7 linked regions of the Macaca fascicularis genome follow. The protein of the gene in region 1 interacts with the protein of each later gene in a biochemical or structural test. Links are inferred from orthologs where the notes say so. Each region holds a gene or a part of one and is shown in the gene's direction. Other genes may lie near its edges. The genes, in order: UBE2L3, HERC4, RNF19A, PRKN, NEDD4L, RNF20 and RNF7.

The links.
Region 2: the proteins of UBE2L3 (region 1) and HERC4 form a complex in vitro, tested with the Homo sapiens proteins (2 studies listed by BioGRID). The link is inferred for Macaca fascicularis from reciprocal best matches to the Homo sapiens genes UBE2L3 and HERC4.
Region 3: the proteins of UBE2L3 (region 1) and RNF19A form a complex in vitro, tested with the Homo sapiens proteins (3 studies listed by BioGRID). The link is inferred for Macaca fascicularis from reciprocal best matches to the Homo sapiens genes UBE2L3 and RNF19A.
Region 4: the proteins of UBE2L3 (region 1) and PRKN form a complex in vitro, tested with the Homo sapiens proteins (52 studies listed by BioGRID and IntAct, with this or other methods). The link is inferred for Macaca fascicularis from reciprocal best matches to the Homo sapiens genes UBE2L3 and PRKN.
Region 5: the proteins of UBE2L3 (region 1) and NEDD4L form a complex in vitro, tested with the Homo sapiens proteins (11 studies listed by BioGRID, with this or other methods). The link is inferred for Macaca fascicularis from reciprocal best matches to the Homo sapiens genes UBE2L3 and NEDD4L.
Region 6: the proteins of UBE2L3 (region 1) and RNF20 form a complex in vitro, tested with the Homo sapiens proteins (2 studies listed by BioGRID). The link is inferred for Macaca fascicularis from reciprocal best matches to the Homo sapiens genes UBE2L3 and RNF20.
Region 7: the proteins of UBE2L3 (region 1) and RNF7 form a complex in vitro, tested with the Homo sapiens proteins (2 studies listed by BioGRID). The link is inferred for Macaca fascicularis from reciprocal best matches to the Homo sapiens genes UBE2L3 and RNF7.

The regions. Positions count from the first base shown.
Region 1 is NC_088384.1:31,559,514-31,564,295, reverse strand, and holds the start of UBE2L3 (ubiquitin-conjugating enzyme E2 L3), read left to right. Parts: upstream 1-1,910; 5' UTR 1,911-1,936; coding exon 1,937-1,963; exon of another isoform or gene 1,964-2,489; intron 2,490-4,782. UniProt on the Homo sapiens protein: Ubiquitin-conjugating enzyme E2 that specifically acts with HECT-type and RBR family E3 ubiquitin-protein ligases.
Region 2 is NC_088383.1:78,490,178-78,494,934, forward strand, and holds the start of HERC4 (probable E3 ubiquitin-protein ligase HERC4), read left to right. Parts: upstream 1-1,768; 5' UTR 1,769-1,922; exon of another isoform or gene 1,923-2,135; intron 2,136-2,553; exon of another isoform or gene 2,554-2,581; intron 2,582-3,388; 5' UTR 3,389-3,419; intron 3,420-3,895; 5' UTR 3,896-3,973; coding exon 3,974-4,199; intron 4,200-4,757. UniProt on the Homo sapiens protein: Probable E3 ubiquitin-protein ligase involved in either protein trafficking or in the distribution of cellular structures. Required for spermatozoon maturation and fertility, and for the removal of the cytoplasmic droplet of the spermatozoon.
Region 3 is NC_088382.1:109,906,002-109,910,021, reverse strand, and holds part of RNF19A (E3 ubiquitin-protein ligase RNF19A), read left to right. Parts: intron 1-2,196; 5' UTR 2,197-2,289; coding exon 2,290-2,963; intron 2,964-4,020. UniProt on the Homo sapiens protein: E3 ubiquitin-protein ligase which accepts ubiquitin from E2 ubiquitin-conjugating enzymes UBE2L3 and UBE2L6 in the form of a thioester and then directly transfers the ubiquitin to targeted substrates, such as SNCAIP or CASR.
Region 4 is NC_088378.1:8,402,789-8,407,394, forward strand, and holds the start of PRKN (E3 ubiquitin-protein ligase parkin), read left to right. Parts: upstream 1-1,732; 5' UTR 1,733-1,851; coding exon 1,852-1,858; intron 1,859-4,606. Other genes in the region: PACRG (parkin coregulated gene protein), read right to left, coding at 1,126-1,281. UniProt on the Homo sapiens protein: Functions within a multiprotein E3 ubiquitin ligase complex, catalyzing the covalent attachment of ubiquitin moieties onto substrate proteins. Substrates include SYT11 and VDAC1.
Region 5 is NC_088392.1:22,606,477-22,610,496, reverse strand, and holds part of NEDD4L (E3 ubiquitin-protein ligase NEDD4-like), read left to right. Parts: intron 1-1,535; coding exon 1,536-1,765; intron 1,766-3,279; coding exon 3,280-3,401; intron 3,402-4,020. UniProt on the Homo sapiens protein: E3 ubiquitin-protein ligase that mediates the polyubiquitination of lysine and cysteine residues on target proteins and is thereby implicated in the regulation of various signaling pathways including autophagy, innate immunity or DNA repair.
Region 6 is NC_088389.1:56,540,571-56,544,590, reverse strand, and holds part of RNF20 (E3 ubiquitin-protein ligase BRE1A), read left to right. Parts: intron 1-676; coding exon 677-889; intron 890-4,020. UniProt on the Homo sapiens protein: Component of the RNF20/40 E3 ubiquitin-protein ligase complex that mediates monoubiquitination of 'Lys-120' of histone H2B (H2BK120ub1).
Region 7 is NC_088376.1:44,573,794-44,576,965, forward strand, and holds the end of RNF7 (RING-box protein 2), read left to right. Parts: intron 1-1,170; coding exon 1,171-1,289; 3' UTR 1,290-2,475; downstream 2,476-3,172. UniProt on the Homo sapiens protein: Catalytic component of multiple cullin-5-RING E3 ubiquitin-protein ligase complexes (ECS complexes), which mediate the ubiquitination and subsequent proteasomal degradation of target proteins.

The DNA.
Region 1 (4,782 bases):
CAGCGGTGAGGATGTAAGAAGATGCCATGGTAAAGGCTAGTCCTTGACATTGAGCCTCTGATGATCCCACTCTCTATTCTCAGCTTAGCACATCGGGTCAAAGGTATGAATTGTGCTTCCTCATCTGGCTTGGAATTTCTCAGAGTAAGGGTCCCTTTCCTCTGTAATTCTCCACAGAGGAAAGCAGTTCTCAATAAAGCTATGTTTTTCCTTTGTCCTGGGCTCAGTAAGGGCAGGCCCGGTGCTCACAGTAGACCCCAGAGTCAGTCCCAGGCTTCCAAGTCCACCATGACCCTAGGGAGCTGATGGGGTCCCTCATACATACGCTGAATGTGTATTGAACTTCCAGTGTACTGGCCTTGGGGGAGGTAAAAGGCAGGCAGAATGGCTGCTCACATGAGGCTTGTCATCTAGTTTCTCCCTCCTTTCCTGTGTCAAGCCTGGGGTCCCAAGATGAGTGTGAGGCCAGCCTTATTCCAGGATATATTATTTCCAGTTCCCTTTCCTTCTCTCCTTTCAGGGGAAACCCACTGTTCTTTTTTTTTTTTTTTTTTTTTTTGAGACGGAGTCTCGCTGTGTCTCCCAGGCTGGAGTGCAGTGGCGTGATCTCGGCTCACTGCAAGCTCCGCCTCCCGGGTTCATGCCATTCTCCCGCCTCAGCCTCCCGAGTAGCTGAGACTACAGGCACCCGCCACCACGCCCGGCTAGTTTTTTGTATTTTTAGTAGAGACGGGGTTTCACCGTGTTAGCCAGGATAGTCTCGATCTCCTGACCTCGTGATCCACCCGCCTCGGCCTCCCAAAGTGCTGGGATTACAGGCTTGAGCCACCGCGCCCGGCCGAAACCCACTGTTCTTAGAAATGGAGAAAAATGTCCAAGCCCAGTGACTCACACCTATAATCCCAGCACTTTGGGAGGCCAAGGTGGGTGGATTGCTTGAGGTCAGCAGTTTGAGACCAGCCTGGCCAAAAATGCTAAAACCCTGTCTCTACCGAAAATACAAAAATTAGCTGGGCATGGTGGCAGGTGCCTGTAATCTATGCTACTCAAGAGGCTGAGGCAGGAGAATCACTTGAACCTGGGATTCAGAGGTTGCAGTGAGCTGAGATCATGCCATTGCACTCCACTCTGGGTGACAGAGTGAAACTGTGTCTCAAAAAAAAAAAAAAAAAAAAAAAAAAGAGAACTCCTTAAGAAGGTCTGAGTATATTCTGAAGCTATGTTCTTCTCTCTTCTTTGCTCCCTGAGGTCCAAACCAGTGTCACCTCTTTGCCTGAACGATTGCAACAGGTTTCCAAGTGGCCCCTGCTCCCCTTCTTATCCTCTTACCCACCTCCATTCCCCATTCCAATCAGAGTACTTTTTTTTTTTTTTTTTAAGACGGAATCTCTGTCGCCCAGGCTGGAGTGCAGTGGCGTGGTCTCGGCTCACTGCAACCTCTGCCTCCCAGGTTCAAGCAATTCTCCTGCCTCAGCCTCCTGAGTAGCTGAGATTACAGACGCCCGCCACCACGCCCGGCTAATTTTTTGTATTTTTAGTAGAGCCACGGTTTCACCACTTTGGCCAGGCTGGTCTGGAACTGCTGACCTCGTGATCTACCCGCCTCGGTCTCCCAAAGTGCTGGGATTACAGGCGTGAGCCACCGCGCCCGGCCAACTATTTTATGCAATCAATATTTATTATTTGCCTACTACGTGCCAGGCACTGGTTGTAACTGTCATCTGATTGGACGATCCGTAAACGCTGCGGCTCAGCCTGTGCGGTTCACTTGTGTTCCTCCACGCGCCTCCGAGCACGCTGGGAAGCATACAGTAGGTGCTCTGCTCCGCTCCTGTGCCCCGCCCCGCGGCCCCTCCCCCGCTCCAGGAAGTGCGGGGGCTCCAGCCGCCCGGCCGGCCGCGATGCATTCTGGGGAAGGAGCAGCACCAAATCCAAGATGGCGGCCAGCAGGAGGCTGATGAAGGTAAAAGCCATTCTCTGGCCTCGGTCGGGCGTGGGGCGGCGTCCCAGGCTCCGGACCCCCGAGGCAGGCAGCGGCCTCTCAGGGCGCTGCCGTCTGGCCTCCTGCCCTACACGGCCTCGTCGGTTCCCTGGGCCGCGCGCAGGCTCAAGGAGCTAACGGGGCTGGCCTAGGCCGCAGCCTGGGCGGGAGCGCCAGGCCGCGCTGGGAGCCACTGTTGGCCCCTCAGCCCGGCCCGGGGCGTTCACGCCACCCTCCGCCCGGAGCGTGGCCGCGTCCCCCTGTCGCGGAGGCCGCGGTCCGACGCGAGGGCGTCGTTAATGTGAGAGCCCGGTTGGGAGGCTCCAAACTGAGCGCCTTCGGGGAAGGCCCGAGCGCCGGAGCCCCTGCCCGGAGCCCGTGCAGCGGAACCGCCCCGCCCTGGGCCTCAGCGAGCCGGGCTTGCAGCTCCGCTTGGCCCAGCCGCAGCTCGGAACTCTGGAAGGCTCGGGCTAGGAGAGCGGGGAGGAGGCCAGGCGGCCAAAGTTAGGTCAGTTTGTTGGTGGGTCGTTTGGAATTGCGCTGGGTCCTAGCAAACTGTCGCCTTGTGACTGCAGAGTCACACAGCGGGCAAGTTCCAACTCCAGGAAGGCCTGAGGTCGGCCCCCATCGCGGCGCGGTTCTCCTTCCCTCTCCTCCACTCAGTCATCTCGATCTCCCTTCCCTGATAAAGCAAAATGCCATTTTTTGGGGGGTAACGGTTGGTTTCAGTCGTTCGAATCAAAACGGGCCAAAGTTTATAATAATAACTTGGTACTTTGGATCTTGAATGCAGCAGGGTGCTTTCTTGCTACTTGGCACCTTTTAGTGAGGAACACATTAGCTAAATTGGCTTAGTTCTTTTGCCAGTGGATTTGCCAACGTCCTCCGGAGTCCCCTCCGCCAGCGTCTGTGAGTCGGCGGCTGGCTAGTGCAGCCGGCCTGCAACGGGCCGGAAATTAAAAAAAGGCCCCGGAGCCGGTTTCCTGAGGGGAGATAAAGAGCTGGGGTTCGTTCTGGGCAGAGCAGTGTTTGGTAGAACTAGACATTGAACTTGGAGCCACAGTCTCTGAGCCCTCCCTGCCTCCCTGGGAACGTTTCCTTTCTTTTGTTCCCTAAGGGCTAGAGAGGACATTAACTTTATAAAACTGGAGTGGAAGTGGGCACAAAAGAAAACTCAGAGGACTTCTGACTTCTCATCTCTTAAGCTAGTGACACCACCATTCACCAGATAAGGGGTCGGTTAATGGCTTTCTTTCCTACCCTACTCCCAGGTGCAGTCGTCCTTCAACCCTTGTGGATTTAAATTTAGAAAGTTTTCTGGAGTGCAGGCCGGGCGCGGTGGCTCACGCCTGTAATCCCAGCACTCTGGGAGGCCGAGGCGGGCGGATCACTTGAGGTCAGGAGTTCAAGACCAGCCCGGCCAACATGGTGAACTCCTGTCTCTACTAAAAATATAAAAATTAGCTGGGCGTGGTCGCATTCGCCTGTAATCTCAGCTACCCGGGAGGCTGAAGTGGGAGAATCGTTTGAACCTGGCAGGTGGAGGTTGCAGTGAGCCAAGTTTGCGCCACTGCACTCCAGCCAGGGCGACAGAGTGAGACTCCATCTCAAAAACAAACAAAAAAAAAGATTTCTGAAGTGCATGACTTGCTTTCTAATGTTACTGAAATTACTCTGAATCTGTATCCTCATCTCTTGGGTGCCCTCCGGAGTGCTCTCCTCCCCAGACTACCCCTCACGGACACCAGAGTTCTTTTAAGGCAGATAACTCAATTCTTTTCACTCCTGTTAAAAATGTCTATGGTCTTATTGTCCTCAGCAGTTAATCCTAACCTCTTACTTGGCATGCAAGACCTTTCTGAGACTGACGGAAAGCAATCAGTTGAGCCTCACCTCCTGCCCTTTGGTTTCCCACCATTCTTGCACCTAATCGCAGTAGCTACTATTTTTCCAGCTTTTACTTCGTGCTTTATATGCATGATCATGTTTAATCCTTCCTGTGAAGTAGACATTGTGATTTCCATTTTGTCGATGAGAAAAGATTATTTGGCTTGCCCTGGGTTACCTAGCTAGGGAGAGTGAGCTGTGATCGAACTGGGTTCTTTCTCCAAAGCAAAGTCTCCTGCTCTTACTTGCCCTCTGGTGTCTCTTTGCACGTGTCGTTTGCTCTGCCCCAAAAAAGTTGCCTTCTCCTCACTTCTGCCTTCCAGAGAAGTCCCAGGTTCAACTCCAATGCCAACTGCTCTGTGAGCCCCTGCTTCACATCCCCCTTCAGAATGAGTTGTTTCCTCCTCTGTGTGACCACAGCACTTTATGTTTCTCTTTGAGCACTTGTCACAATCTCTTTGTGTTACAGACTTGTCTTTCCTGTACTGGGTTCTGAGATCCCGAAGGGCAGGGATCTTGACCTAATTCATCCTGGAAGCCCCCTAGCCTATCCCAGTTGACCCAGTTTGGAATCCCCAGGCTCTCAGGGGTCTAAGAGGGGACTTATTACGGGTTTAAAATTATTACTCTGTTTCTAAAAAAATAGACCTTGGAAAAGAATTTGTAACATTAACTGAGTATTTATTAAATATTAGGTTATTTACATAAGTTATCTTTTCAACACTCCAAGTTAGTGTATTGTCGTTTTTATGTTTTTACAAATGAGGACATTGTGAGGTTAACTAGGTTAAGGGAGTTACCTAAGGTAGAATCGTAGAATGTGGTGGGGAGGGAGAAGACACTGACTCTTCCTGTCTTTAGGACCCAAATTCCATGCCTCTTGTCAGGCTGTCTTTCTTACTCAAAGGCTGCAT
Region 2 (4,757 bases), on another chromosome or scaffold:
AAACCTCCGTCTCCCAGGTTCAAGGGATTTTCCTGCCTCAGCCTCCTGAGGAGCTGGGATTACAGGAATGCGCCACCACGCCCGGCTAATTTTGTATTTTTTCGGTAGAGACAGGGTTTCTGCATGTTAATCAGGCTGGTCTCGAACTCCCAACCTCAGGTGATCCGCCCACCTCGGCCTCCCATAGTGCTGGGATTACAGGCGTGAGCCACTGCGCCCGGCCAAATGTGACCTTTAATTGGAAATGAGTTCTTTGCAGATGTAATAACGTTAAGATGAGGTCATAATGGATCAGGCAGGGTAGGCTCTAATCCGATATCTGGTGTCCTTATAAAAGGGAAATTTGGACACAGACACACAGCGAAAACAAGGTGAAGAGGGATGCTTCCACAAGGATTGCCAAGGATTGTTGGCAACCATCAGAAGCTAGCGGAGAAGGCTGGAAAAGATTATCTCTCAGAGGCCCCAAGAGAGAACTAACCTTGTTTTCACCTTGATTTTGAAATTCTGGCCTTCAGAACTGTGAGACAATAAATTTCTGTTGTTTTAAGCCTCTCAATCTGTTTTAATTTATTATGGCAAGCCTAGGACACGAATACACACACTTAAACATATTCTAGAACAGACAATTCTTACCTAAAACATGTTTTTCAACAAGAGATAAAGAAATAGGCCAGGCGCGGTGGCTCACGCCTGTAATCCCAGCACTTTGGGAGGCCGAGGCAGGTGGATCGCCTGAGGTAAGGAGTTTGAGACCAGCCTGACCAATACGGCGAAACCTTGTCTCTACTAAAAATACAAAAATTAGCCGCGCGTGGCGGCGCATGTCCGTTGTCCCAGCTACTCGGGAGGCTGAGGCGAAAGTTCCAGTGAACCAAGATTGCGCCGCGCCATTGCACTCCAGCCTGGGGCACAGAGCAAGACTCTGTCTCAAAAAAATAAATAAATAAATAAAATAAATAATTAAAAATAAGAAAAGAAAAAGAAAGATGGCCTATTTGTGGAACTTCTTCTAGGTACTGAATATTCATTCTAGCAATGCCAAACTTAGAATTTCAAAAGTGCTTTGTTTCAAGTTCTCCTGCTTTTTAAGAAGTTAAGGCTAGCCTAGGAGATCCAGACTTCGTTTTTATGAATCAGGGACTGCAGCCAAATGTGTAATTTTCTCTGATAGAATGAGGCCCTGCAATTCAAGCCTATCTTTCAGGGGGAGTGTAGAAAGTGATGGGAGCCAACACTGTAACAGGAACCTGAACTGGTGGTGTTATTAGTTCGAGTAGCTTTAACCATTGCTATCAATACATCTCACATCCTCAGACTGGCTCCAGTTGAGGCCATGGGATAAAATAACTCTTCACCAGTCTTTATATTCATAATCGTGATGTTTCATCTGCTACTTAAAATCTCCTTGGGAAAAGAGAGAGTAAAATAATAAAAAGACCAGCTAGCATCCATGAGCACAAAGACAACCAAACCAAAAAACAAAGTGATTTTCTTCATTAAAAGGCTCTGTGCACGCCGAAGCATTCTCAAAAACAGTTTATACCTTCTTCGTTTGTCTTCGCAAACTCCAATTTTCTGTATTTGACTTTTCCCTCTTAAAGCAACGCAAAGCAGCACACTGCGCAGGCGCCTGTGGCCAAGCGCCCCCGGGAGTATTCCGGCGCAGGCGCGGGGACCGGGAAGTGGGCGGGCTCGCGCGCGTGCTCGGCGGTTCACTTCCGGCCAGCCCCTCCCCCGCCTCCCTCGCGTGGCCACCTCCCCCTCTGCCTTCTCCTACCCAGTCTCTTCCCCAACTCTCCCCACCCCTAGTGCTCTCCGCCCCGCTTGCCTCCTGTTCTTCCCCGCCCGCTCCATCCGGGTCGCTGACGGCTGTCTCTGGACTGGACAGCAGTGGCGTCCGCTTTTCTCTAAGGAACCCGGTAAAGTTTCACAGGGGCCGGGGAGGGGAGCAGCGGAGCAGCGGCACAGACGCCGGAGGTGCCCTGGTGATCACCGCCACTGGCTGACGGAGGAGGGTCCCAGGAGCCGGATACCTGCTTCAGCGACCGCGCTGCCTTGGTCTCTGGGGAAGGGCCGCCCCGCGTCACCTTGGGCTTCCCCTGCCCTGAAGGGCTGGGCGAGTTGTGGCCCCAGTGGGTTCGGGGGCGTGTGACGGCGTTAGGGAGGGGCAGGCCGGGCTGGGCGGATGCAGGCCGGCTCGGCACTGGGCGCTTTCTCAGCGCTTCCTAGGGGTGAGGGGCGTGGGGCGAGGGCAGGGTTGTGGCTCCCTGGCCCCGGGGCTGGAATGTCGCACCTCCCTGGGGATGGGCTTCTCTCAGGTTGAGGCCGCGGGCTGCCAAGCCTCGGCCGCCGGCCTCTGAGGCTGTTGCGAGCGGCCGGTTGCGGTAGTTGTCTGCTCGGCTGCGAGGTTGGGTGTGTGCAGATGATTTCTCTTTCCCGGTCCGCATGAGCTGATCTGGGTGCACGTTCAGGGAAAGACGGGATTAAACTGCTTCTCATTTCCCTACCTGTTGCTGGCGAGAGGACGCCTCTGTGCTTTAAAGAAAAGGGTGGTTAGACCTCGCGCGCTGAAGTCGGGGTATTTTCCTGTATTACTCTTATTTTGTTTTTTAAATATGGGAAGACAATGCAGAAGTCTTGGGAATTATAGAGTTCTGATGCCCCGAAAGAATGAAATCAAACTTGTTAGAGGATGATGGGTCGTGGAATGGGACACCTTGGGCACTTGCTAACAGGAACGTAGGAAAATTGAGATTGAGACTTCGCAGGCTCTGTAGGAATGTGCATGACTACTACAGAATAAGGCTGACTTCCTGTAATTATGATATTTAGTAACGCGATGTGTTTAAAAATCTACGTATGTATAGATGAAGTGGACTCTGTTATTTGTGTCTTTACAAGTGAAGAAATACTCAGTCAATGTGCTGGAAAGTTCTACAGATTTCGCCATCAGACTATCAGTGCCCCAGCCCCCATTCCTATTCTTGAAAAATCAGCAGTGCTGGAGTTATTTGCAATTAACCCCCGCCAATCTTTAAATAATTGTCTCAGAAGTATAGATAGATATAGATTGCTCACAGGAGAGTTTTTTAGTCCCGGTTACCAATTGTAATAAAAGAGGTTGAATTTTGGAGAGAATTGATATTTAAACTGCATGAGTTTTTTTCTGTATTATAATTATGCAAATTGATTTAGTTTTAAAATTAGTGAAGTTGGAATGTTAGTATTTTGATTTGAAAAATGGGATCTTTGGAGGTGATTTGAGATTGTGGTTTGGTAAGAGAATCCTCATTTTCTCTCTGGCCTATTAAGAATAATTGGGAGAGTCGTTTAAATTGTGGAAAATTGCTTTAAATTTCCATTGTTGGTTTTATTTCTGTTACAGATAAGAACTTCCATTTTCTGTTGATGTGGAGGTAGGTATTAGAAGGCTTAATTATACTAGGATTTGAGGGAGATTGCAAGGTTATGTTTCTGCAGTTGGCTAAATTTTTCACTGTGTATATTTGCTTCTTGGGCAGTGAAAAGATGTCTTATTTCTTGCTCCCACTGAAATTATTTAAAGCAAAAAGTAGAAAAAATTGTGATTAATTTCATCAAGGTACTTACTCCCATTAGTTTAGTCTATCACAAGATAACCAGAAGTCAAAACTAGTTAATATGTTTTAAATTTTGCAAAGGATCGTAGAAAGTGACATATTTTCCCTAAAACTTTCTGTATGATACATTAAAAAAAATACAACTGATTGGTTTTTGAAACAATGATACTTATGTACCATGTTATAAAGTAAATTTAGTGTTTACCATGTAGCAATTATTGTAGCCTAGCACTTGAAAGAGCAATTATACCTTTTTTCTTTGAAGTCATATTAACTTCTTTCTATTTCCTCAGACATAGGGTACCTCCAACTTTCCGGGGTTTCAGAAGAGAATTTTTTATTGAAACTGGAAGACCAAAATAATTACAAGCATGTTGTGCTGGGGCAATGCATCCTTTGGACAGCTAGGTTTGGGTGGAATTGATGAAGAAATTGTACTAGAGCCCAGAAAAAGTGACTTCTTTATAAATAAAAAGGTCCGAGATGTAGGATGTGGACTCAGACATACTGTATTTGTTCTGGATGATGGAACAGTGTACACTTGTGGATGTAATGATCTAGGACAGCTAGGTCATGAAAAATCCAGAAAGAAACCAGGTAAGTTGAAACGTTTTTAAAATTTGCTATTTCTAATAATTATATCATTTTAAATTTGAATCATCATATAATTTCTCTAGTTGTAATTATATGTTTATCAAACTTTAAAAGCAAAGTAGAAGTTATGTATTTCCATTATATTTGTATATTTGTATGGTTCTAAGTACTTTATGTTGTGGTTTCTTTTTTTTTTACGACTAGTATTATAAAACCTTATTTTGTATGACAATATAAAACAATAAAGAAAATCAGCCTGCCGTATATAGGTCTTTGGTACAGAATGTGTAGTGTGCAGGCCCTCTTTAATAAATTCTGTTCAGGCACCGTGGATAGATTTTAAATGCATAATTTACTTTGTGTTTACCTTACCTTGGGAGTAGGAGAAGAAAACAAGACGAAAAGCTTTTTACTTTGACTTGCTTGCCTAAAATATGTTTTTATTCTTTTTATCCCTCTGTCATAGTATTTTAAACATGTAATTTTATTTGGTTTAGTTAGAAATATCTTTTATTCCTCTAATCTTTTACTTTCTGTAGCATTGCTAGCTATTCAAGATTT
Region 3 (4,020 bases), on another chromosome or scaffold:
CACATATTAAGAAAGTTTGGCTGGGCATTGTGTCTGACGTCTGTAATCCCAGCACTTTGGGAGGCCAAGGAGGGCGGATCACTTGAGGTCAGGAGTTCGAGGCCAGCCTGACCAACATGGTGAAACCTTGTCTCTACTAAAAATACAAAAATTAGCAAGTCATGGTGGCGCATGCCTGTAATCCCAGCTGAGGCAGGAGAATTGCTTGAACCCGGAAGGTGGAGGTTGCAGTGAGCTGGGATTTTGCCATTGCACTCTAGCCTGGGCAACAGAGCCAGACTCTGTCTCAAAAAAAAAAAAAAAAAAGTTCCCTTTGTGCCTCACCATAAAATGTAGCCACAATCCTGACTCCTAACATTGTACATTAATTCTCTCTGTTTGGAACTTTATATAAATAGAATTATACCACATACTCTTTTGTATGAGAGTCCTGTCTTGTGTGTAGCAGTATTTTGTTCCTTTTCATTGTTTCATTGCTTTAGAGTGTGAATATACCACAATTTATGTATTCATTCTACTGCTGATAAAAATATGGTTGTTTACAATATTTTGAATATTATTACCAATGCTATTGTGAGCATTGTTAAGTATGTCATTTTTCTTATTCGTTCCTTTCTAGGAATAAAATTGTTGGGTAATAGGTTATCGCTGTATGCCAATTTTATAGATATTGTTAAACAGTTTTCCAAAGTAGTTGTGCCATTTTACACTCCCACCAGTAGTGTAAGAGAGTTCCTATTCCTCCACATCCTTGCTAACACTTAGAAATGACAGTCTTTTAATTTTAGCCATCCTATTAGGTGTGTTGTAGTCTCTGAATGGGGCATTAATGTGTTTTTTCCTGATGACTGATGATGTTGAGCACTTTTCATATGCTTTTGTGAAATGCCCCTGCCTATTTTTCTATTGGATTGTATATGTTTTCTTATTGATTTGTAAGCATTTTTTACATAGTCTGGGCACTGTGCCTTTATTAGTTATATGTGGCAAAAGTCTCCTCCCATACCCTTAATACTGTCTGTTGATTTTATTCTAGTCCAATTTAACAGTCTTTTATTTTATGGTTGGTATTCTTGTATGTTCTGTTTAAGAATTTTTCCATTGAAATAGTCTCTTCTCTTGTCTCCTAGAAGCTTTACATTCAGATCTGTAAACCATTTGTAATTGATTTTCATATATGGGCAAGCCATCCATCCATCAAGTTTCCTTTCTTTTCTCAGGTGGATAACCGGTAGACATAGTACTTTTCTTTTTTTAAAGGCCATTTATTCTCAGTCCTCAGCAACATCACGTTTGTCATAAATCAAGTCTCGTGTGTGTGTGTGTGTGTGTGTGTGTGTGTATGTAGGACTTTTATTTTATTTTATTTTATTTATTTATTTTTGAGATGGACTCTCACACTGTCGCCCAGGCTAGAGTGCAGTGGCGCAATCTCGGCTCACTGCAAGCTCCGCCTCCCGGGTTCACGCCATTCTCCTGCCTCAGAAGAATACTCCGGAGTAGCTGGGGCTACAGGGACCCACCACCATGCCCGGCTAATTTTTTATATTTTTAATAGAGATGGAGTTTCACTGTGTTAGCCAGGATGATCTCAATCTCCTGACCTCGTGATCTGCCCGTCTTGGCCTCCCAAAGTGCTGGGATTACAGGCGTCAGCCACCACGCCCGGCCTATATGGGACTTTTTCTGGACTACTTTCTGTTCCACTGGTCTTTGTATTCATCCTTGTGGCATAGCACATTATCTGATTACTGTAACTTTATAATATTATATCTAGCGGCGTTAGAGGCCTTTCCCCACTTTGTTCTGCAAGATTATGTAAGCTATTCTTAGCCCTTTGTATTTGCATGTATACTTGATTGTCAGTTATAAACAACAACAGAAAGACCTGCTAAAGACAGTGAGAAATCATTGAAGTCAGAGTGATAATGACCAGAAGTTTTTTTCTAAGATTTTAAGAATAATTAGGTCAGCTCAAATCTAGAATCTTTTATTAAGATTAAAGAATGCCCTTTTTGTTATTTCAGCATTAGTCTTGTAGTTTCTTACAGACTATTTAATAAATTGGCCTTATTTAAAAAAACAACAGCTACTAATGGTTAAGGAACATACTTGTTTGAAATTTGATATTTATGAAAATATACAAACTAAGAACATAATTAAATGATCTTGATTTTTTTATTTTTTATTTTTCAGAACATCCGTGATAACAGTCTTCTGTAAATCGAACTTTTGAAGAATTCTCTGAAAGAACCAAGTAGAATATTCTTACATCATGACTTACTCTGAATGCAAGAACAAGAAATAGGTTTTATCTCTAAATATAATGAAGGGCTGTGTGTAAACACTAACCCTGACTCAATTCTAACAAACATTTTAGACATGAGTTTACATCGGCAAATGGGTTCAGATCGAGATCTTCAGTCCTCTGCTTCATCTGTGAGCTTGCCTTCAGTCAAAAAGGCACCCAAAAAAAGAAGAATTTCAATAGGCTCCCTGTTTCGGAGGAAAAAAGATAGCAAACGTAAATCAAGGGAGCTAAATGGCGGGGTGGATGGAATTGCAAGTATTGAAAGTATACATTCTGAAATGTGTACTGATAAGAACTCCATTTTCTCTACAAATACCTCTTCTGACAATGGATTAACTTCCATCAGCAAACAAATTGGAGACTTCATAGAGTGCCCTTTGTGCCTTTTGCGGCATTCTAAAGACAGATTTCCTGATATAATGACTTGTCATCATAGATCTTGTGTGGATTGCTTACGACAATATTTAAGGATAGAAATCTCTGAAAGTAGAGTTAATATTAGTTGCCCAGAATGTACTGAACGGTTTAATCCCCATGATATTCGCTTGATATTAAGTGATGATGTCTTGATGGAAAAATACGAAGAGTTTATGCTTAGACGGTGGCTTGTTGCAGATCCTGATTGCAGGTGGTGTCCAGCTCCAGATTGTGGGTAAGAAGATATTGTTTGATTTTTCTTGAGTTAATTTTTTTCTCTGTGGATAAAATAATTTGCTGTTACTCAAAAATTTTTACGTGCTGGAGAATTCATTCAACAGGCCTGTTGAGTACACACCATATATCAGGCACTATGCTAGCTGTTAAAGGCAGTGGTCCTGTCTTACTCATTTCTGTATTGTCTCTGTATTACATATTCACGGAGCACATTTAGAAGAAAAGGGTAAGGTGGTAGAGTTCAGGATCTACCTGAAATTGGTTTTCTCATCCATTTGGAGAATTTTGATTTTGGAATAACAGACGAAATGTTGAGCATTGTTTGTGAAGAGGAGGTTATTTGTGGTCATAAACTCAAATGACCCTCTTCTTTATTTTTTTCTCTTTGTTGACATGTTTCTCATGAGAGATAAATGGCCCTTTTGAAAGGTACCTACCTTAGCATGTGCCACAGTATGATGTGTTCATGTTGATATACATAAACATTTGCTAGTCTCAAGTTCTAGGGGTTATGTAATATTTGATTTGCCTCAAGTTTTTGAATTAACACATACCGTATTCTCAACATTTAAAATAAAATAATTTTGCATATATATTTGATTATTATGTTGGTGAGCAGCTCCTGTTTATAGAGCATTTATTGTGTACAGTTGTCAGAATTAGGGAAACAGTAGTCATATACTATTCAAGAATAGTAAAAGCCACAAACAATTAATGTGATATGTAGCACACTGTTAGTAAACCAGAGATTATAAGTAACGTTTGGGGAAACCCAGAACTTCCGAGATTATCTGGGTATAATCTCAGAGGCAAGACTGGAATGTGAGTTTCATTTATCAAATTACAATTTCAAGACTCGTTACCTGAATCAAATCCACGATTTAAAAGTTTCTTGAGTAGTGAATTTTCAGATCGCATCTAACCTACATTCCATAATTTTAAATGAGAAAAGTAGTGTTTCCTGCCTGTGCAAATCCCAGTTTTCCCAGGTATCACTAGCACTTTATCATCCACCAAAGATTTCTGTGTAGTATACAACATTTTAAAATTACCTT
Region 4 (4,606 bases), on another chromosome or scaffold:
ATTTCCAAGAATTTTAACTACTGTAAATCACCTGACACACTTCTCAATAATTAGGATATCATTTTGCATAACCACATGGGAACCTGGCCTAGAGGTCTATAGGTAATCTGTTTCATTCATGTATTTTAAGTATGTCATTTAGGAATAAGTTATTAGGTTTACAACATATAAGCAAAGGAAATAATGTGACACTGGAAAACAACATTACTCATTTAACATAATGAATTGCCACATGTAATAACTCAGATCTTCCCAGGGTGTAAATTATATGAATTTGAAAGCTGCATTTATTATTTAATGCCTCATTCCCAGACAGGTGCTTACTCAGTAGCAAAATCTGCCTTAGCATACCAAGTGTAAAGCTATGTAACAAATAGGAAGGTTTAAAAAATAGATACTATCATGCAGACAGCTAAAATATTTGTATGTATTTTTAATCTTTTTTTCCTCTAATGATACTTAGAATATTTTATTTTTGTTACTACAAATAATGCAGATGAAATATGAATTGTATTAGTAGCAGAGACACATGAGCTAAAGCTTGTATTGTTTAAAGCACATCATCTTAAAAGGCCTGTCAGGAAACAGTGTTCATATTAAGTGGGCTTTCAGTACTCTAACAAGATGACATCATTTTCTAAGAGACAAGTGTTGTTAGAGTAACTGCTAGGATATTCCAAAATTTCTCATTATAGATTATTTAATGAGTTTATGTTCCCAGTTGTATATCAGCTCATGTTAAATTTTGCAAGAGTTTATGATTTCTAAGAGCTCATCTTCTGTAAGGCCCTTTGCTGAGTGGGGTTAGTTAGCAATCAGTAATTAAAGGGGATCTTTTTACCTCGTGTAAATAGCGTAAGAGTAATTTTGGGCGGTTTAGAAACGATGAGTTATCAGGAAGGTGCTTATCAATGGGCAGAGTATATCATTTGCCCAGGATTCTAACAACCTAGCCTGCCCCCCACACACTGTGGGGGACCGTCTGCTACTTGCCAAGTAATTGCCATTTTTGGCAAAGACCACCCAGGACATGGGCTCAGAGTCCATCCTAGGGCTGGCCAACCTCTGTAAATCTCGTGTCCCCTGATACGGAGCGAGTGCATTCAATTCAGGAAGATCACTTACGACTGAGTTTTTCATCATGGCTTTGACTGTGAAGCCCTCAGAAACCAGGGAGTGAGGCTGGTGCACCGGGAGCGGCTGTTGTGCCAGCAGCTTGGTCCTCTTCGGCATCTTGTCTGGGCATTTGTTTAAGCTCAGGGTCTCTTTTTCTGCCACCATCTTCCTAGAAAATGTCTTGTTCTCATAAAAAGTGTAGTAAAAGAATCAGTGGGTTTTACGGATGTGAGCAGGAGGTCGGGAAAAAAATGTCAAAAGGCGCGTTAATGGTAGAAATTCAACCCCTCGTAGTGCCCAGGTTGATCCAGATGTTTGGCAGCTCCTAGGTGAAGGGAGTTTAGGGGAGGGGTGGGGCGGGAAGAGGGCAGGACCGTAGCTAGAGCTGCAACAAGCTTCCAAAGGTAAGCCTCCCGGTTGCTAAGCGACTGGTCAACACTGCGGGCGCATAGCTCCGCCCCTCGGTGACGTACGATTGCTGGGCCTGAAGCCGGAAAGGGAGGCGGCGGTGAGCTGGAGGGCAGGAGGCGTGAGGAGAAACTACGCATTAAAACTACGACTCCCAGCAGGCCCTGGGCCGCGTACCCTCCGCGCGTGCGCATTCCTAGGGCCCGGCGCCGGGGCGGGGAGCCCTGGAAGATTTAACCCAGGAGAGCCGCTGGTGGGAGGCGCTGGCTGGCGCCGGTGCGCGCGTAGGCCCTTTCCTGGCCCGCAGCCGCCACCTGCCCAGTGACCATGATAGGTACGTGGGTACCTGCCAGGTACAGCCTCATCTGCGCCGCCCTGCGCCCCGGTGTGGCCTCGGCCGACCTGGACCCCAGGTGCCAACTGTCAGTGACGGGGCCAAAGTGCCCATGCCGTACCCGGCCCGCACCGCCGGGCTCTCCAGCTCAGCGACGCGGGCCCGGGGCCCCAGTGTGTGCGTTCCAAGCCCTCGCCCGCCCGCCCCTGCTCTGAGCGTTCCCGTGAAGACCGCCTCACCGGGGACGCCAGGCGGCCCCGCACCCCCGGTCCTCGCTCATGGTCCCCCGGACCGTGTAGGGTCCCGAAGCCTTCGCCCCGCCGCCGCCCCTCGCCCTCGAGGCCCTGGCCAGTTGTCGTGCGGTTCAGGACCCATCGAGACCCACTCTTTGTGGGGCTCTTTCAGGAAACCCCAGCAAAGCATTAAACTCTAATGGAAGGCACCTGGTGAGGGTGGCTGGGCGCCACAGAAACTCCTCCAGATGAATCTAAACTTCTTGCTCCCTCGGATGTTTCCTTTTAAACTTCTCGTTGGAGGGCTGAGGTGAAAGAAAAATTGAGAGTAAATAATAGCCAAGATTACATCTACTGCCTTTTGCAATATAACTTTTTTTTTTTTTTTTTTTTTTGGTAAAACACAATGACCGAGGTGCAATTTTGTGAACAAAACTTAGTGGCATCAGAGTTGTTCATGAACACTTGATGTGTAAGATGAGCAAAGGTGCAAAGGTCCTCTTCCAGGGTTGTTGAACCAAAAACTACTTTAGGGGCTGTCCCTAAAAATGAATGGAAATGCACCATATGTTTAGAAGCCAGTGCTATATGGGGTTTCATTATTGTGGAAGTTTCTCCAGGTTATGTATGGAGGGTTTAGTGAGCTTGTTTAGGGCTAATTCCTGAGGAGCGTCCCTTACAAAACACTTTTGATTGCAGTAAGTACGTTCGAAGTCAGATGTGGTCTGTCCAGAAGTAAGGTGAGAGGTGGATTCATAAAATATATGATCTTTATGCACTGAAAACACGTACTACATCTGTTTTTATTTATGAAGTTATTGTTAAAATGTAAACATTCTGCCCATCAGTGGGAGAATCAAGCCAGCTAACTGGCATTGTCTTTGTCTCTGTGGTAAAACAAGAATGTTGTTCAGCCTTCCCTTTCTAGCATGGTCTGACTTTTGGTGAATGACTTGAAAGTTAACCAAATTATGAAAAAGTTATAATTTTTTGAGTTTTCTTGAGCTCTTTTTAGGTGACATTTACGTAAGATTCACTTGTAAGCACAAGTCTGAACTGAATCAGAAAACCAAGTAGAAGAGATTTTCCAAAATCCGTGCTATCAGTAGTCTACAGGAAGAAAATAGCCTATACCTTATTTTGAAGACAGTTAAATACATTTTATTTTAATTTAACTTAATCTAGTGCACAGATAATTTTAAGAGAAACAAATTTATTGTAAAGCTATATGAAGACAGGCACTTAAGATCTGGGATTGGAGGCGTAAGCCACCACGCCCAGCCTCATTAGCCACATTTCAGTAAACATCTGAATGGCCAGTTTGAGATTTGGGTGTGGTGAACAGTGCTAAAGGTAGGTGAAAGTGAAAACCATTAAAAGGAAGCCTTGGAGTGATGGATTTTGTGTTTTTGTGACAAAAATTCAGAGCGAGGAAAGACATTATAGATTTTATCCAGTGATCAGTTGGAGATCAAAATGTAAATAGTATGTATCTGGGATTTTCTGTTAAAGGTAAGAGTGCTTCTCAAAGCTTGCTCCTTTCAGGCCTATGCTTTCTCTGTTACACTCACCTTGTTGCGGGATTCAGGAGGACGAGAGAGACCTCGGGTTGAAACAGGAGAATCTTGATCGAGTGCACTCAGGCCCAGCTGACTCACATGCAATAGACTGGGCCCAGAATAAAGACAGTACTTGACTTTTATACACACTTCACAAAAGGAGGTGGGCTAGCTTGAAGCAAACTTACGGTGGTGGCAAAGCAGGGATACAGAGGCAGGACAAAGGCAGGACTGCACATGGCCATCGCCAAGCAACCCAGATGTTCGTTATCTAGGTTTCCCTGGGCACAGGCTTATCCTATAACCTTCACTATGGTGCCCAGGCAGCTGTAGTTCAGGCCTACTCAGGCTTCTCATGACCTTCGTTGTGCTTCTTAGATAAAACAGAATACTTGAAATCACTAGTTACAGAGAACAAGAGTCTATAAACTGATTCCATAAAACAAAGGAAAATTTGTTTTTCTTCTCCCTGTGTTGAGGGAGTGCTGGGAGAGTCTCCAGAGCACATTCGATAATATTAGCAAGACTCTTCCTGGATCTGGGCTGTGCTGTTGCTGCCTCTGGGACAAGTTAGCCTAAAACAGGAAAACTTATTTCTTTTTCTTTTTAATTTTATTTTTCTTTAATTTCCCGCCCCAACCTTAATGCAAATAATATTCTGCCAGTTGGAGAAACGTAAAGATGGGTTTCCTGGTAGAAGAGGAGTAAACAAGACTGACTGCGACCTAACTGCTAGTGGAATGTGCCTTCCTTTTACTTTCTCAAAACCAAAGATTCCCTTCTTGGGATGAGGACTGTTTCATAAGTCCTTACATTTCCCACCTGGATTGCGATTGATATGTTGAATGCCCTGACCTGGGCAGCTATGGAAACGTAATTTAATTGAAGTCGGTTAAAAATTGTGCCTTTGTGGAAGGTGTGGAGAAGGACTTCAAGATAATATAAAGCAGAATAGA
Region 5 (4,020 bases), on another chromosome or scaffold:
GAATGCTAAAAATATTACCTTCCTTTTCTCACTGCACTTTGATCCTCCTGGTTCTGAAATCTGAATTTTCTTTTTAACAGAAATGGTAAGTGAAGATTAACTCAGTATTATGTATCAAATCACCTGAAGGGTAATTTCGTATGTAATACATAAAAAGACAGGAACGATTTTTATGGGATATGAAATAATTCAGAACCCTAGTCGCAAAATCTGGGGAAACCCATTCAGTTATGCACAGTTATCATATTTAATAAACCTGGATCCCAGTTAGAAAAATGTTCAGGTCCTTCCTTGCAAATGCAAAAGCTTAGTTTCAGCTACAATATTTATAATATAAAGTTATATTTAATTATAGTAATTGGCAGTACTAGGTGCAAATGTAATTTTCTGCTTATAATTGTCCCTGGCAGTTTCAAACCTAGAAACTCTAAAAATTTTTATGGGCAGTGTTTTAAATTATAACATTAGATTTTCTAATCACTCACCACCCCCAAATTGTTCAACATTGCATCTTCTGTTTTACTTTCCAATTCCTCCTTAGCAGTTTTCTCTTTGGTTTTCTCCATCACTATGGTTACACCTCTAGGGAGGGGGGAGAATCAGCTGCAGCTCAGACCCCCTCCGGTGGCCTGGGCTCTGTTGCCATTTCTCCCTGCCTCCTCCCCTCAGCCGGTTCCTCCTGCCCAGGACGTCTCTGGATGGGGCACAATCTCTGATCTCATTTAGGAGTTTTGGTCTCTGTTCCAAAGTCCTGATTCAAGAGCTCATGGATAACTACTATTGAAATGATTATTTGCCTTCAAAACTTAGATGAATACTAAAAATTCCACAATTTTCTTTGTGAGTCACGTCCCCTGGTAATGATAATGACTTTGTGGTCATCACCCAGGCTCTCTGACTCTCACATAGCAGTGTCTGCTACCCGGAAAACATCTCTGCAGTTTCATTCTTACAGCCAGACCAAGCCTGGATTGCCTCTTTGCAGGAGGCAGCTGCCGCAGCCTTGGTCAAGCGAACCATGCTTTGGGCTGCTTTCCCCACACTTGGCATAATCAGGGTCCCGCTCCCCATGGCTGCAAAATGGACTTGAGGCACCGTGGATTATATCTACCACCTCGCGGCCCTGCCAGAGTTGAGCATGGCCCCAGCCTGGCCAGGTGGGGATTATTACAGGTTTTGATTACCTGGGCTAAAGTCTCTTGAGAGAAGCAACAGGTACAGTTGACTGCCTTTCAGTTGCCATATGCTGGAGGAGTGCCCACAGTTGTTTATTAAAGGGGGTGAGGAGGCTGTTCTCCTTCGCAGCAGAGTTTCTGACTTTCCTGAGCATCGCTAGCGGATGCCGTGTGTCCATCGTGACACAGCGAGGCTTTCTGTCTGCAAGGGAAAACCCCTGAAGGAGAGACTCTCAATTGGAACCATTTGTCACTGCTCGTTTCTTTGAGGACTGCCAACTTTCCTACCCTTGGTTGTTGTTTTTATTAGAAAACAAAACGTGTATTTACTGTGTGTGTTTTCTTTTGTCTTTTGTGTAGGCTGATATCCCCAATAGGTTTGAAATGAAACTTCACAGAAATAACATATTTGAAGAGTCCTATCGGAGAATTATGTCCGTGAAAAGACCAGATGTCCTAAAAGCTAGACTGTGGATTGAGTTTGAATCAGAGAAAGGTCTTGACTACGGGGGTGTGGCCAGAGAATGGTTCTTCTTACTGTCCAAAGAGATGTTCAACCCCTACTACGGCCTCTTTGAGTACTCTGCCACGTAAGTATATGGCCACACCCAGAGTGTGTCCCCCACTGAGACAGTTGTATGAATTTAAACAGAATGAAAGAATAAGCAGCTCACCAGTTCAAGATGCAGTAAGTCTGTTGAGTTTATTCTCTCCTCACCCCACAGCCCCTTGCAAGTCTAGAACAGGTTCTGACTCTACCTGGTGAAATAGTGTACTCTGTGAACATCTAACATTGATTTTTTTTTTCTTATCTAATGGGTTCATGGAGTTGAAATTGAAAACGTGGATAATTGTGGTAAGGAATAGGAGGCGATTTTCATTTGCAGTGTTCAAAAGGAGGACTTGTCAGTGTTAGAATGCAAAAACAAAAAGGTGTTTTTTGAACAAGAGTTGTTTCCGAGGTCTCTGGGTAAAGGCAAATTGTAAGGACTTTGAGGACCTAGGACCATGCCCTGCTCCTGTGAGGAAAGAATCAGGTTTCCCCTTGCATTAGGATTTCATCATTGCCAGGCTTGGAAACTGAGGCAGACTAAATTGCTTTCTGAGCAACCAAAGATCGGCTACTTCCAGGCCAGCCATTCCTTCTTCTGAATCCTCCAAGGGTTAGGCTGGACCCAAGCCCTCAGTAGAATAGTCACTGACCTTGCTGAAGGGTATTTATCATCACTTTAACCCTGGGCCCTAAGGGGACGTGGGTTCTCCCACATCTCCCATGTGGTACCAATCTCCTGGGGGCTCATTTGGAAGGCAACCTCAGTGCATTCTTCTCAGTTGCTCTAGCCAAGAATTGCCCAGTTGGTCTGTTGTTATTATTACTGAGTCCCATGAGAAAGCCCACTATGGACAATTTATCCAACTACTGAAGGTGGAGGGCAGGGTGGGGAGAGACAAGATCTTTACCTCTCCTCCACATTTTCAAAGATACCCCCCTGGAGGAAACTGTCTGTGACCCCGGTTGAAAACCACTGATCCACATAATTGTGAACCAAGCAAGGTCATTTGGACAAATCTAAACACTTGCAGGTTTGCCTCATTGAGAGAGCCATATCCTGTTCCTAATCCCCTTGAGGCCTTTTCAGAGCAGAGTAGTGGTCAGAAGACAGACCAAGGGTTGGGCCCATAGCATACATCTTATGGCCAAGCCAAAAGCCTCTGGAAGGAATTAACCTTCCTTTATCACAGACACGACCTAAAGTACCCACATCATTGGGAATGCCTGCACAGCCCCTTTATTATGTGGAGTTTCTTATCTCCCCAAGATATTTGGCTGAACCATAGGAAATAGACACTTTGTGGATCAGAAACAGTCAAACATCAGCAGTTTCTTATGGTTTAATTGACTTTAAAGTACACATGCATCAGCTTCCATGGTGGGTCATGGTTGAGCAGGTGGTAAGTCAGGTCCTCTAGCCCACACCTTTTCCCACTAGGTACAGAATGCTTGCAAGGACACTGTAGAAATTGAGTGACAGGTGGCAAAGAAATATGCAAAATCTTGCATTTGAAAGTGTGATTGGTCTTTTCTTCTCTTTCTCCTCAAAAGGGACAACTACACTCTTCAGATCAACCCTAATTCAGGCCTCTGTAATGAAGATCATTTGTCCTACTTCACTTTTATTGGAAGAGTTGCTGGTCTGGCCGTATTTCATGGAAAGCTCTTAGATGGTAAGTCTTGAAGTAATAAAAATAGGTCAGTGCCGCTTGTGGTTTGCTGGTAGGTGTCTTATCTTTTGCATCATGAGTTTTTAAGCAAAAGCTTCACTGGTTTACTCATAAAGTATTTTTATGTTTCGCCCATAATGGATGTGCTTTTCTCTGGTAGCTTATTTTGGGCACTGAAGACATAATGTCTACACACAGTTAAAAACAAAAGTTTTTTTTTTTAACTTCATTGTAAAGCACAGAACATTATGTATTTATACATTTGTATGTTTTCTGGAATAACTTTACTGAAAGCAAGATTTGATAACAGATGGAAAAACTAATTGAAAAGTTAATTAAAATGATCTCATCCATCTAATATTGTGTGATTATTGCATTTGTCCCCAAATTATTTTTTTAATTTGAAGGGACTAAATAATTTCAAAATAATGTTACCACTCAGCTAAGACATTAACCCTGAAACAAATAACACAAAATAATTTCATTCTTATTTAAAGCATGTAAATCATGGAAGAATTTCAAGGTACCTTGAAAGTTAGAAGTCAAACCCTCTACCTGGCATTATCTATAGGCTTGGAGACTTCTAAAAGATTTGGCCAATTCAAAATAGCGTCCTTAAGAA
Region 6 (4,020 bases), on another chromosome or scaffold:
TCCTGTAGATCCAGTATTCTAATTGCGGAAAAGCATGAGAAAATGTGAGAGGTTACGATGGAAATACTCTTTTTTTTTTTTTTTTTTTTGAGACAGAGTCTTGCTCTGTTGCCCAGGCTGGAGCGCAGTGGCCAGATCTCGGCTCACTGCAAGCTCCGCCTACCGGGTTTACGCCATTCTCCTACCTCAGCCTCCCGAGTAGCTGGGACTACAGGCGCCCGCCACCTCGCCCGGCTAGTTTTTTTTTTTTGTATTTTTTAGTAGAGACGGGGTTTCACTGTGTTAGCCAGGATGGTCTCGATCTCCTGACCTCGTGATCCGCCCGTCTCGGCCTCCCAAAGTGCTGGGATTACAGGCTTGAGCCACCGCGCCCGGCCGGAAATACTCTTAACCAATTACTGCTTGATCTGTTTGTCTAGATTAAGGTAAATACAATTATTGTCTGCTTTAACTGACTTTGAATACAGGTCAACTAATAAGTATCAGACCAACAATTGGTGCCAGTGACTTCAGATAATAGAGCTTTTGTATGCCTAATGACAAAACACAGCTTCTTAAAACTCTGTCACTAAATTAATTTATATGTAAGTGAACGGTGGGAAAGTTTAGTTTCCGGTGCTCATCCATTGAAGTTGGAAGATTCTTCTAAAATGAAATCTCTTCCTCCATCCTTTAGGAAGAAGAAGCACTCCTCTCTGAGATGGATGTCACAGGCCAGGCCTTTGAAGACATGCAGGAGCAAAATATCCGTTTGATGCAGCAATTGCGGGAGAAGGATGATGCAAATTTCAAGCTCATGTCAGAGCGTATCAAGTCCAATCAGATCCATAAATTGCTTAAAGAAGAGAAGGAGGAGCTGGCAGACCAGGTTTTGACTCTGAAGACTCAGGTAATTAAGATGAGTAGAGCTTTCTATTCTATTGAAATAGGGCGCTTGCTACATGACGATACAAATTAAAGAATGATTATTGTGGCATTTTTTTGTGATGGAAAAAAATTTGAAAACTAAATGTTCATCATTAGGGTATTGGTGAGTAAATTATACATCTCTACTGTTATTCCTACAAAAGAGTACAGTGTAGCTGTCAAATATGGATCTGCTAATATGGAAACATGTCTGAAATAAAATCAACTGACTTATTTTGTTACCCTTTTTGCATTAAAGTGTATGTTTACTTGTGTGCCTGTGCTGTGTATTTTAAAAATTTCTGGAAGGCTGCATGAGTAACTGTTAGAATCATTACCTCTGGATATTGGGATGAGTTGTGGGTGAGGTTAGGAGGTATGTGTGATTTTACTTTTTTTTTTTTTTTTTAAATTTCCATAGTTTTGGGGAACAGGTGGTGTTTGGTTACATGAGTAAGTTCTTTAGTGGTGATACCAAGATTTTGGTGCACCCACAACCCAAGCAGTGTACATTGTACCCAATGTGTAGTCTTTTGTCCCTTGCCTCCCTCTGCCAAGTCCCCACAGTTTATTGTATAATTCTCATGCCTTTGCATCCTCATAGCTTAGCTCCTACTTACGAGTAAGGACATACAATGTTTGGTTTTCCATTCCTGAGTTACTTCACTTAGAATATTGGTCTCCAATTCCATCCATATTGCTGCAAATGGCATTATTTTGTTCCTTCTTATGACTGAGTAGTATTCCATGGTGTGACTTTTCCTCTAGGTAGATACCTGGAAGTGGGATTGCTGAATCAAGTGGTAGATCTACTTTTAGTTCATTAAGGCATCTCCATGCTGTTTTCCATAGTAGTTGTACTAGTTTACATTCCCACCAATAGTGTAAAAGTGTTCCCTTTTCATCATATCCATGCCAACACCTATTATTTTTTGATTATGGCCATTCCTGCAAAGTGAGGTGGTATTGCACTGTGGTTTTGATGTACAGTTCCCTGATAGTTAATGATGTTGAGCATTTTTCTTATGTTTGTTGGCCATTTGTATATTTTCTTTTGAGAATTGTATATTCATATCCTTAGCCACTTTTTGGTGGGATTGTTTGTTTTGTTCTTGCTGATTTGTTTGAGTTCCTTGTAGATACTGGATGTTAGTCCTTTGTTGGATGTATAGATTTTTTTCTGCCACTCTATGGGTTGTCTGTTTACTCTGCTGATTATTTCTTTTGCTGTGCAGAAGCTTTTTCGTTTAATTAAGTTTCATCTATTTATTGTTTCTTTTGTTGCATTTGCTTTTGGGTTCTTGGTCATGAAGTCTTTGCCTGAGCCAGTGTCTAGAAAGGTTTTTCCAATGTTGCCTTCTAGAATTTTTATGGTTTCAGGTCTTAGATTTAAGTCTTTGACCCATCTTGAGTTGATTTTTGTATAAGGTGAGAGATGAGGATCCAGTTCCATTCTTCTATATGTGGCTTGCCAATTATCACACCACCATTTGTTGAATAGGGTGTCCCTTCCCACTTTATGTTTTTGTTTGGTTTGTCAAAAATCAGTTGCCTGTATGTATTTGGCTTTATTTCTGGGTTCTCTATTCTGTTTCATTGGTTTATATGCCTATTTTTATACTAGTACCATGCTGTTTTTGTGACTGTGGGTTTTTTTGTTTTGTTTTGTTTTTTGTTTTTTTGAGACAGTCTTGCCCTGTTGCCCAGACTGGAGTGCAGTGGCGCGATTTTGGCTCCCTGCAAGCTCTGCCTCCCGGGTTCACAACATTCTCCTGCCCCAGCCTCCCGAGTAGCTGGGACTGCAGGCACCCGCCACCATGCCCGGCTAATTTTTTGTATTTTTAGCAGAGATGGGGTTTTGCTGTGTTAGCCAGGATGGTCTCAATCTCCTGACCTCGTGATCTGCTCGCCTCGGCCTCCCAATGTGCTGGGATTACAGGTGTGAGCCACTGCGCCTGGCTGTGACTATTTCTTTATAGTATAGTTTGAAGTCAGGTAATGTGATGCCTCCAGATTTGTTCATTTTACTTAGTCTTGCTTTGGCTATACGTGCTCTTTTTTGGTTCCATATGCATTTTAGGATTGTTTTTTCTAGTTCCTTGAAGAACGATGTTGGTATTTTGATGGGAATTGCATTTAATTTGTAGATTGGTTTTGGCAGTATGGTAATTTTCACAATATTGATTCTATTATCCATGAGCATGGGATGTATTTCCATTTGTTTGTGTCATCTGTGATTTCTTTCAGCAGTGTTTTGTAATTTTTCTTGTCGAGGTCTTTTACGTTCTTGGTTAAGTATATTCCTAAATATTTTATTTTATTTTTTTTGCAGCTATTGTCAAAGCGGTTGAGTTCTTGATATGATTCTCAGTTTGGCTGCTGTTGGTGTTTAGCAGAGCTCTGATTTGTGCACATTAATTTTGTATGCTGAAGCTTCGCTGAATGCATTTACCAGTTCTCGCAGCTTTTTGGATGAGTCTTTAGGGTTCTCTAGGTATATGATAATGTGATCAGCAAACAGTGACAGTTTGACTTCCTCATTACCAATTTGGATGCCTTTTATTTCTTTCTCTTGTCTGATTGCTGTGGCTAGGACTTCCAGTACCATGTTGAATGGAAGTGGTGAGAGTGGCATCTGTGTCTTGTTCCGGTTCTCAGGGGGAATGCTTTCAACTTTCCCTTGTTCAGTATAATGTTGGCTGTGGGACTGTCATAGATGGCTTTTATTACCTTAAGATATGTCCCTTCTATGCTGATTTTGCTGAGGGTTTTAATCATAAAAGGATGCTGGATTTTGTCAAATGCTTTTTCTGCATCTATTGAGATGATCATGTGATTTTTGTTTTTAATTCTGTTTATATGGTGTATCACATTTATTGACTTGCGGATGTCAAACCACCCCTGCATCCCTGGTATGAGACCCATTTGATCATGGTGGACTATCTTTTTGATATGCTTTTTGAAGGTGGCATGAGAAACTGTTAGAATGGTTACCTCCACATATTGGGATGAGTTGTGGGTGAGGTTAGGAGGTGGGTGTTTGTGATTTTACTTTTTACACTGTAATATTGTTTGATTCTCCTTTGTGCATTAATTTCAAAAAAGACTCTTTTA
Region 7 (3,172 bases), on another chromosome or scaffold:
AGAGTAGAAAAATTCTAAGTCTCAAGTATGTTTTTGGAATGTGGTTTGTGTATCAAATTTTCTTTAGAGTCTTAGACTATAAAAGTTGTCGTAGGCTAAATATTTTAGGCAGTTCAAAGATTTTTATGCCCTAGTTCTTGAGGTGATCAAGTCTGGATTGCTATATAAACATGTTTACAGATTTTCTTAGAATAAAAGATCGGCTTTGTATTTTGTGTTTGCATGGTGTACATAGAACACAAATACATGATGTACATAGAACTTAATATTGATTCTTGCAGTTTTGATCCAGTTCTTCCTCCTGAAACACTTAGAATGTTTCACCCTTGCTTCCTACCCCCTGTAGCAAATTTTCATAGGAATTTTTTTTCTTTTTTTCTGCCTTATTTCTTTCATTTAATCTTTTTCTTTTGTCATATAGCTCAGTTGATCAAGCAAGGGACAGATGAATACCAAATTTGAGATTGCATTCTAGATTATGGATGATTTCCCTTGTTTTAAAGTTTTTCTTCCATGCTGCTTGTTTAAAAAGTATTAATTTGGGAATTGTGAGGGGCAGGCCACTTTCTTGGATCACAGAGAGACCTCTCTCTCCAGCCAGCCCCTTTGAAAATTTCATCGTCACATGAGGAATTGCACTGCTTGTGGATGACCTAACAATTCATTACTTCTAGAAAACAGCTCAGCTCAGTAGATGCACAACTGAATATTTAGAAGCATGTTATTTATAATAGCCTACTGCATGCTAAAAACATTTACAACTCATTCTGTCTTGGTAAATAAAAATTGGAAGGACATTTTTCCATAAAATAAAGCCCAGAAGGTCTCTAAGGTCAGTGCATAACTGAGAAGGTCAGATCTAAGGAAGGTTCAAGTCCTTTCATCTCCTAAGTTCAAGAAGATAGCATGTGGAGCTGTGTAGGAACTAGGGGTCATCACATCACCCATAGATTCTAGAACAGGGATGGAAAGGCTCTCAAACAGTGACTTATGTCTCTGTGTAACTTACACATTTAAGTTTCTGTTTCTTTATAGATAGAAAAACATTATTTTGGCCAATTAACTGTCTTTTTTCAAGATTATTATTTGTAATATAAAATAAGCTGTAATTTTGAGTTGAGTATTTAAATTGAAATATGTAATGTCAACTCTTCTTTTTCTTTCTTTCAGTGGTCTGGGGAGAATGTAATCATTCCTTCCACAACTGCTGCATGTCCCTGTGGGTGAAACAGAACAATCGCTGCCCTCTCTGCCAGCAGGACTGGGTGGTCCAAAGAATCGGCAAATGAGAGTGGTTAGACGGCTTCTTAGTGCGGTTGTTCAGAGCCCTGGTGGATCTTGTAATCCAGTGCCCTACAAAGGCTAGAACACTCCAGGGGATGAATTCTTCAAATAGGAGCCGATGGATCTATGGTCCTTTGGGACTCATCAAAGCCTTGGTTTAGCATTTTGTCAGTTTTATTTTCAGAAATTCTCTGTGATTAAGAAGATAATTTATTAAAGATGGTCCTTTCTACCTCTGTGGTGTGTGTCGCGCACACAGCTTAGAAGTGCTACAAAAAAGGAAAGAACTCCAAATTGAATCACCTTTATAATTTACCCATTTCTCTACAACAGGCGGTGGGAGCAGTTTCAGAGAACTTTTTGCATGCTTATGGTTGATCAGTTAAAAAAGAATGTTATAGTAACAAATAAAGTGCAGTTTAAAAGCCAACTCTTATTCTTAATTTGTTCCTAATATGTATTTTTGGCAGGGAAAGGGAGCGGTCCTTGAAATCTTTATGTGATGTGAGGATTTTAAGTTTGGGCCAGTGAACGGGGTAAATAAAATTTAACTTTTAGGCATATGGAATTTTGATTGCCGTTAAAGTTACTATTCTCTGTCATTCAGCAAGAAAACGTAGATCTGTACTCACCTCACTGTTCAATCATTGAGTGGTAAAGGACAGAAGTATTTTCTAGTTCTGGTCAGATGATGTAATTTTTTTTTTTTTTTTTTTTTGAGGTGGAGTCTTGCTCTGCCACCCAGGCTGGAGTACAGTGGCATGATGTCAGCTCACTGCAACCTCCGCCTCCCAGGTTCAAGCGATTCTCCTGCCTCAGCCTCCCAAGTAGCTGGGATTATAGGCATGTGCCACTACACCTGGCTAATTTTTGTGTTTTTAGTAGAGACAGGTTTCCCCATGTTGACCAGGCTGGTCTCGAACTCCTGAGCTCAGGTGATCCGCCCACCTTGGCTCGCAAAGTGCTGGGATTACAGGTGTGGGTCACTGCGCCCGGCCCAGATGATATAATTTAACTGTGTTTTAGGTAACATGTTAATAAGGGAAAATGTTTACCAGTGTAGCATTGGGTCAAAAAGTTTATTTTATCACACAGTGTTTTAATAAATGGTTTATTCTGCTTACCTTATTTGAATTGTCATTATAATTTTATGTGCAACCTTAAACTTAATAAACTAATTTGTCAAGTAAATACTTTCATTTAATTTGAAAAATTTCATATTCATTTGCTCTTTCATTTGGTAATAATGAAATTTAAGGTTTATTACCTGGAAACAGTACAAGAAAATACTAAACTTTATCAAACTGTTTCACACTAAGGGGAGGTTATTTGTAACAAATAACGGACCACAAGTTCATTTTGGATTCTTCTGTGGTAGAGTCTACTGATATGAATTTAAGAAAAAACCTTAGAATCTTAACTTTTCACATCTGCAGATTCAGTTTGCCATTCTGAATTTTTAAATCTAAGGGATGTGGATACATAGAATGTTTAAAAACGTAACAATTAGAATAAAAAATTAAAATTATGCTTTTGTATGGGTTACTTTTTATGAATCACATTTTTCTGGAAATTTTTGCTTTATATTTTTTCACAGTTGTCTCTCTAGCTACTGAAAAAATTATACAAATATCTTTGGCCATTTGAATTTATCATTGTGCAGTAAACTGTTTTAGTAACTTTCTGTTTGACCTTTTTAGAAGGTTGCATCCTTAAAATGTGAACCAGATACACGGCTTTGCATTGAAGAGGAAAGCAGTAGAATGTCAGGTTACTTTAGGCAGTGTGACAGTATGTAAATGAAATGTGGAGGATGGCGCTAACAATTTGATTTTCCACACAGCAAAACCACAGTCCCGCCACCTAACAAAGCCCTGTTTATGCTACA